Saccharomyces cerevisiae S288C: one gene and its partner. The protein of the gene in region 1 interacts with the protein of each later gene in a biochemical or structural test. Each region holds a gene or a part of one and is shown in the gene's direction. Other genes may lie near its edges.

What was found.
Region 2: the proteins of STE11 (region 1) and STE50 form a complex in vitro, tested with the Saccharomyces cerevisiae proteins (11 studies listed by BioGRID, with this or other methods).

What each region holds. Positions count from the first base shown.
Region 1 is NC_001144.5:847,898-852,519, forward strand, and holds STE11 (mitogen-activated protein kinase kinase kinase STE11), read left to right. Parts: upstream 1-1,968; coding exon 1,969-4,122; downstream 4,123-4,622. Other genes in the region: DCR2 (phosphoprotein phosphatase), read right to left, coding at 1-1,227; YLR361C-A (uncharacterized protein), read right to left, coding at 1,486-1,782; NMD4 (Nmd4p), read right to left, coding at 4,598-4,622. UniProt on the Saccharomyces cerevisiae protein: Serine/threonine protein kinase required for cell-type-specific transcription and signal transduction in yeast. It is thought that it phosphorylates the STE7 protein kinase which itself, phosphorylates the FUS3 and or KSS1 kinases.
Region 2 is NC_001135.5:61,484-64,981, forward strand, and holds STE50 (Ste50p), read left to right. Parts: upstream 1-1,957; coding exon 1,958-2,998; downstream 2,999-3,498. Other genes in the region: LSB5 (Lsb5p), read left to right, coding at 175-1,239; MXR2 (peptide-methionine (R)-S-oxide reductase), read right to left, coding at 1,293-1,799; RRP7 (Rrp7p), read right to left, coding at 3,192-3,498.

The sequences.
Region 1 (4,622 bases):
AATTTTACCAACCGTAGAATATTTATGTGAGTCCAGAAAATAAAGTGTACCTACTGGGACTTCTGTATCATTGTTCGAAAAAATCTGATAAATATAATTACCAACGCCAAACGTATTATCGTGTGTATCATGGGGACTAAACTTGAAAAGGGAATATGGTAGTACTGAAGCTATTTCGGATAACTGCCAGCGCGTTAAGCTTCCCTCGTCGTCGTGATTTCCCCATACCATTGCCCACGGAATTTTTCTTGCAATGACGGGTGCTACCGCCTTTAATAATACGGTTTCAGAGTCTTGAATAGATCTATCACCCATGATTTGGTCACCAGTAAAAACAACCAACTGCGGTTTTTCAATGTCAAGAACTTGTTGAACGAAAGTTTCCGTTTTTGGATCTGCCTTGCAAGCTTCATGCTTTGGATACTCATCGATACATTCAGACTCCCCCACACCCAAGTGGAGATCCGCCAACTGAACAATTTTGAACTTTCCTTCATCAGTTTCTTGCAGCCGTTGAGCTCCTGTGTCTACAGGACGAGTACCAACGAATTTGTAAGTCAAATAAGCAGGTTCGCTGTAGCGGTATTTTACTAAGGGAAATTCTTTTTGAAGAGTCCAATTTGCTATCGGCTGGATGCAATCAACACCAAAGAGAATGTTAATATCGCTTATGTAGCTCCTTTTCTGCAATAGTTCTATGCTAATAGGCTCGAATGTGATGGATACATCCATAAAGGGTAGCGATTTGTCTTTAGGATATTTGGAAATTCCAGTTACTGCCTCAACATTTAGCTTTTCTAGGTTGGATCCAAAGTAGTCCACCAAAGCAGGGTATAACACATCATAGTAAAGGTATTCTGACTTTCCAAACCACCTGCGTCCAAAGGAACCTCTCAAGTCTTTATGAATTCTTTTCCTTTGTAAGTATTGGTGCCCATCAGTTAAAGTTGATTTAAGTTCATGCCGATTAAAACATCCTTCATAAAAACGACCAATATGAAAACATTCGTCATAGCCTATATTTACAACTAGCTTATCGTCATTTGAGAATCCCTCTAGACCTTTATTTTGGAACCATAGATTATCAACGTGTGATATCGGGAGTGCAAGGTCGAAACCAATGTGCTCTTCAACTCTTGGCGCCTGTAGGAAGTAAAATAGGGCAATCACTACAAAAACTACCAAGTATAATAGGTACCTTTGATACAGCCTCGGTAACCGGATCATGTTAAGATTTTTAACCACGGTGCTGGTCTTCGATACTTAAGTATAAAACTTGTATCAGAGGTATCTGCGATCTAAAAAGATTAATTTTTGAAAAAGATCAACACTAAACCATTTGAAATTCAAAAAGCACCTAAGGCAAAATATAAATCTAAATATACGTAAAATGGAAACACTTTCTGCGCAGCTTTATACAAGTTAGCCTTCTAGCTTATGAAATAGAAATGAAATATAACTGAGCAAGTCCTATATACAATACTATTAATGATCTTCTTGTCCATGAGACTGTTCATGGTGCCTTTTAGAGACTTCTTCATCACTTATCTGAGGCCTGTGGCCACCCGTTCTCAATAAACCACCGGCAGTATCTTCAACTGGAAATCTTGCACTGGGTCTTACGCAATGGGGCTTGCGTAACTGTTCAAAATCCATGATTTTAGTTTTCCCTCCCCCTTTTAAAGTAATCTTTGGATTCTCGCCCAACTTTTCCTCCACTTCTTTTATATTTTGGGTGCGTTCTTTACTATTATTATTATTATTATTATTACTAACTGCCATTATAGTTTCTTTATGCTGTCCTCACCATGCCTTTCGTTATCAGGCTAGCATTAAAAGCCTTTTAAGGTGTAAAGCTTTCGCCGCGATGGCTTTAAACAGTAGAAAATATTCATATTTACACACATGCATAAAGAGAGACCACTTAATAAAGCTAGTATGATAAGATCACCGGTAGACGAAATATACATGGAACAGACACAAACAGCAGAGGGCACTGACTTACTAATTGGTGACGAAAAGACCAACGATTTACCTTTTGTGCAGTTATTTCTGGAGGAAATAGGATGCACTCAATACCTGGATAGCTTTATTCAGTGCAACCTTGTCACAGAAGAAGAAATTAAGTATCTCGACAAGGATATCCTCATTGCTTTGGGTGTAAACAAAATAGGAGACAGACTCAAAATTTTAAGGAAGTCAAAATCGTTCCAGAGAGATAAACGGATTGAACAGGTGAATAGATTGAAAAACCTGATGGAAAAAGTAAGCTCTCTATCCACTGCTACGCTATCGATGAATTCAGAATTGATTCCTGAAAAGCACTGTGTTATATTTATCTTAAACGATGGTTCCGCTAAGAAAGTTAATGTAAATGGTTGCTTTAATGCAGATTCTATTAAGAAAAGGCTAATCAGAAGATTGCCACATGAATTATTAGCCACAAACTCCAATGGAGAAGTAACTAAAATGGTCCAAGATTATGATGTGTTTGTCTTAGATTATACCAAGAACGTACTGCATTTGCTATATGACGTGGAATTAGTCACTATTTGCCACGCAAATGATCGTGTTGAGAAAAATAGGCTAATTTTTGTTTCCAAAGACCAAACACCAAGTGATAAAGCTATATCCACATCCAAAAAACTATATCTAAGAACGTTGAGTGCATTGAGCCAGGTTGGGCCATCCTCGTCAAATTTGTTGGCACAGAACAAGGGGATTTCGCATAACAATGCTGAAGGGAAACTCCGGATCGACAACACAGAAAAGGACAGAATTAGACAGATTTTTAATCAGAGGCCTCCTAGCGAATTTATTTCTACCAATTTGGCCGGATATTTTCCTCATACAGACATGAAGCGGTTGCAAAAGACGATGAGAGAGTCATTTCGCCATTCAGCAAGGCTAAGCATTGCTCAAAGAAGACCTTTAAGTGCAGAATCAAATAATATCGGTGACATACTATTGAAACACTCAAACGCTGTTGATATGGCCCTATTACAAGGATTAGATCAGACAAGATTAAGCAGTAAACTTGACACAACTAAAATTCCGAAGCTTGCCCATAAAAGGCCAGAAGATAATGATGCCATATCTAACCAGTTAGAACTATTAAGTGTAGAGTCTGGTGAAGAAGAAGATCACGATTTCTTTGGGGAGGACAGTGACATTGTTTCATTACCGACGAAAATTGCCACGCCCAAGAATTGGTTAAAAGGTGCTTGCATTGGATCAGGCAGTTTTGGGAGTGTTTACTTGGGCATGAATGCTCACACTGGTGAACTAATGGCAGTAAAGCAAGTGGAGATAAAAAATAATAACATTGGTGTTCCCACAGACAACAATAAACAAGCCAATTCTGATGAGAATAATGAGCAGGAGGAACAACAAGAGAAAATAGAAGATGTTGGGGCGGTAAGTCATCCAAAAACCAATCAAAATATTCACAGAAAGATGGTTGATGCTTTACAGCATGAAATGAATTTATTGAAGGAGTTACATCATGAGAACATTGTTACTTATTATGGTGCTTCTCAAGAAGGCGGAAATTTAAATATTTTTCTTGAATACGTTCCTGGGGGTTCGGTTTCCTCCATGCTGAATAATTACGGTCCATTTGAGGAATCACTGATTACTAATTTCACTAGGCAAATACTGATTGGGGTTGCGTATTTGCATAAGAAGAACATTATTCACAGAGATATCAAGGGTGCAAATATTTTGATTGATATCAAAGGTTGCGTAAAAATTACTGATTTTGGTATTTCAAAAAAATTATCACCTTTGAATAAAAAACAAAATAAGAGAGCTTCTTTGCAAGGTTCCGTATTCTGGATGTCACCAGAGGTGGTCAAACAGACCGCTACTACTGCTAAAGCGGATATATGGTCTACAGGATGTGTTGTCATTGAAATGTTTACCGGTAAGCATCCTTTCCCAGATTTTTCTCAAATGCAAGCGATCTTCAAAATAGGCACAAACACGACCCCCGAGATACCTTCCTGGGCTACGTCAGAAGGAAAGAATTTCTTAAGAAAGGCATTTGAGTTGGATTATCAATACAGGCCTAGTGCCCTTGAATTGCTGCAGCATCCATGGCTGGATGCACACATAATTTGAAAAAGGGCTACTTATTAATTCTTTTTATGGCACTAAAGTGCTCTGGCCGATTTTTTATCAAATAATACATATATATCATATTTAGTGACATTTATTGAATATATCTGCTATTTACCGGTTTTTTTTTTTCAATTACGCTGATTAAGTAATCATAAATCACAATTGTGAAAAAAAGACCAAACTAGATGACGGTATTTGATTCTCATACCCCTGGAATAAAATCAAGTAAGATAATTCTGATAAAAAAATCCGACCGCACAGATGGAAGCACGAAGAAACAGGCCTTTCTTTGCGAGGTGATATCAAACCATTGATATCTTCTCAATAACCTGCTCTAGGAAAAGGAGGTAGATAGACAAAAGCAAGGAAATAATCCATAGAGTTTCATTCACATGAATAATCTGTTACCAATTTTTCTCATAAGATAAAGCCATCTATCAAAAATGATATTGAAATATTTGAAAAATGCTTGTTTTTATGGGGACCACAATTCGCCTGTA
Region 2 (3,498 bases), on another chromosome or scaffold:
CTTCAAGGTGATAACTATGAAACTGTTTTGACCTTGACGTGTAAAGTGATCAAGGTAATAGTTAAACTTTATATATGTTGTTTATCAATGTGGTATCCTTTCTAAGGATGAAGACAACACGATTGTGACAGTGTGAGAGAGTGATAAAGCATTGGAGGCAGGCAAAACAAGAACATGGGGTTTCTTTCGGATCATCCGCATACAGCTATCACCGAGACGATCTTTCGAATTGTCTCTTCAAGGGACTATACGCTAGAAGTGGAGTTAGCTCCCTTGATTCAGCTTATCAAAGCAGATCACAACGATTATAACTATACCGTGAACCAAGAAGAAGCTGCGCGAGCACTTAGAAAGAAAATAAAGTATGGGAACCGGCTGCAGCAGTCCAGGACTCTGGACCTCTTGGATCTGTTCATCTCACAAGGCGTGAAGTTTACAGTCATGTACAATGATGACAAGCTGCTGCAAAGGCTGAGAGGGATGGCTACGAACTCTGAAAACAGCGGGTCCGGTGAAAAGTATGAGCCTAGGATTATTAAGAAGTGCGCGGCGTATGCTATCTCGTGGCTAAACTATATTACGCAGAACAACCTTGAGAATGCGAGGGCGTATTCAGGTCTTTATCAATTGGGTCAAACAGTCAAACAGAGGTACTCGAAGAGCAGCCGTTCCCGCCGTAGCGGCGGAGGCTCTGGCGGACGGTCTAACTTCATGGATGATAGCGCCGACGACACTTTGTACCAGTCCAACTCGCTGACTAGTGCCGATAGATTGTATAGGATTCCACAGATCAACATGAACAAAGAGGCACCCAGGATTCGGCTCATAATCAGCGATGCTCTCGCGTCTGCTGTGTCGTTACAGAACTCGCTGATCGGGCTGCCCAAGGGCAAGTTCTCCACAGACGATGAAGAGGCCACGTCCAAGTTCATCCAGGCAAGGGCGATCAGAAGGAAAGTTCTTAGATATCTGCAATTGGTCACGGAGGGTGAGTTTCTGGGTAGCTTAATTCATGCCAATGATGAACTGGTGGCTGCGTTGACTGCATACGACGACCGAAGCGCTCAGGACGATAGCAGCGATGAAAGTGATCACGGCTCGTACGATGACGGTATTTATGATGAAAACGAGCAGGATAACAGCAGGTATATTGATAGCGAGTCCTCAGAGGAAGAGAGCTTGTCTTCTTATCAGCCGTCCACGATCTCAAACCCTTTCGGTGATCATAACAAAATTTGAAGAAGTATGTACGTATGCATACACACATATATATATATATATATATAGTACATTTAATCCTTCTTGAGGTTTAAAGACGCACTGTTCACACAGTGTCTGGTGTCCTTGGGCAAGTTTAGCAACTGTTTCCAGCCTTCACCTTCAAACACATGTCCCAAGTGTCCACCACACCTTGCACAACATATCTCCACCCTCGCAGGCATTAAAGAATTGTCACGATGATATGTGATGGCTCCAGGGGATACCTCTTCGTAGAATGCGGGCCATCCACAACGAGCGTCGAACTTGGCCTTGCTCGAATACAACGGTCTGTCGCAGTTGGCACAATGGTAGACACCGGACTCGTTGGTGTGTAAATACGCACCGGTGTTGGGCCTTTCAGTGGCCTTATCTCTCAGCACCATCAGCTGCAATGGTGTCAGGGCATCGTTCCACTTCACGTCATTCGATTCGTCACTCATTTTCTTGCTCTTATTCCAGTACTGCGTCAGTACAATGTTTCTTCTCCCTGGAAAAGTCCTGCGTACAGTTATAACGTACAGCCTGCTCCACTTATTCATTTTTTGATATTGCTTCCTTTCTCCCTTTATTTAAACTATCATCGGCGACATATTTCCCAATAGGCAAAGCTGAAAAATACTATCGCTAATTATAACAAAGAAGCTAGGTCGAAGGACTCGAAAAGACAGAGGTCGTACTAGCAGAGATAGCAAATCAGATGGAGGACGGTAAACAGGCCATCAATGAGGGATCAAACGATGCTTCGCCGGATCTGGACGTGAATGGCACAATATTGATGAATAATGAAGACTTTTCCCAGTGGTCGGTTGATGATGTGATAACTTGGTGTATATCCACGCTGGAGGTGGAAGAAACCGATCCATTATGTCAGAGACTGCGAGAAAATGATATTGTAGGAGATCTTTTGCCGGAATTGTGCTTGCAAGATTGCCAGGACTTGTGTGACGGTGATTTGAATAAGGCCATAAAATTCAAGATACTGATCAATAAGATGAGAGACAGCAAGTTGGAGTGGAAGGACGACAAGACTCAAGAGGACATGATAACGGTACTGAAAAACTTGTACACTACTACATCTGCGAAATTGCAAGAATTTCAATCGCAGTACACAAGGCTGAGGATGGATGTCTTGGACGTAATGAAGACCAGCTCAAGCTCTTCTCCGATTAACACACATGGAGTGTCCACTACGGTACCTTCTTCAAACAACACAATTATACCCAGTAGTGACGGTGTGTCTCTTTCACAAACAGACTATTTCGACACAGTTCATAACCGACAATCACCGTCAAGGAGAGAATCCCCGGTAACGGTATTTAGGCAACCCAGTCTTTCCCACTCAAAATCTTTGCACAAGGATAGCAAAAACAAAGTACCCCAAATATCTACAAACCAATCTCACCCATCTGCCGTTTCAACAGCGAACACACCGGGGCCATCACCTAACGAGGCGTTAAAACAGTTGCGTGCATCTAAAGAAGACTCCTGCGAACGGATCTTGAAAAACGCAATGAAAAGACATAACTTAGCAGATCAGGATTGGAGACAATATGTCTTGGTCATTTGCTATGGGGATCAAGAGAGGCTGTTAGAATTGAACGAAAAGCCTGTGATCATATTCAAGAACTTAAAGCAACAGGGTTTGCACCCCGCCATTATGTTAAGAAGAAGAGGTGATTTCGAAGAAGTAGCAATGATGAACGGAAGTGACAATGTCACCCCCGGTGGAAGACTCTAATGTGCAGTTGTCATGCACATCATCATACTAAACTTACACGAATAGGATAACATGTATGCTAGCAGAATATATATGAAAGAAAAAAATTATTGATGCCTTTAAACTTATACTATTATACTATATTATGTTATATTATATTATTAGTTTTATAGATATATTGAGATATGTTGAATATGATGACGAGGATGGTGGTTTAAGTGTATGGATTGAATTTTCTCTTAGCTTTCATTACCTTGATTCTTTCTTGATCTTCCTTAAATTTACTTAACAGTTGATTGATCTCCTGTTTTTTACGTTCTCTGACCTGAAATCTATAGAAATCTTTCTTTGCCTTTTTATCTATATTTGAAATTGGCTTGGCCTTATTTTCATGTTTGGATAATGGATTTTTGTTTAATATTTTCTTTCTTATGGAATTCAATGACTTGGTGTTCTTTCCTACAACTAATGTGAATCCATCCTCATCCACTATAGAACTTTGAACATCCTCTTGTGCTTGA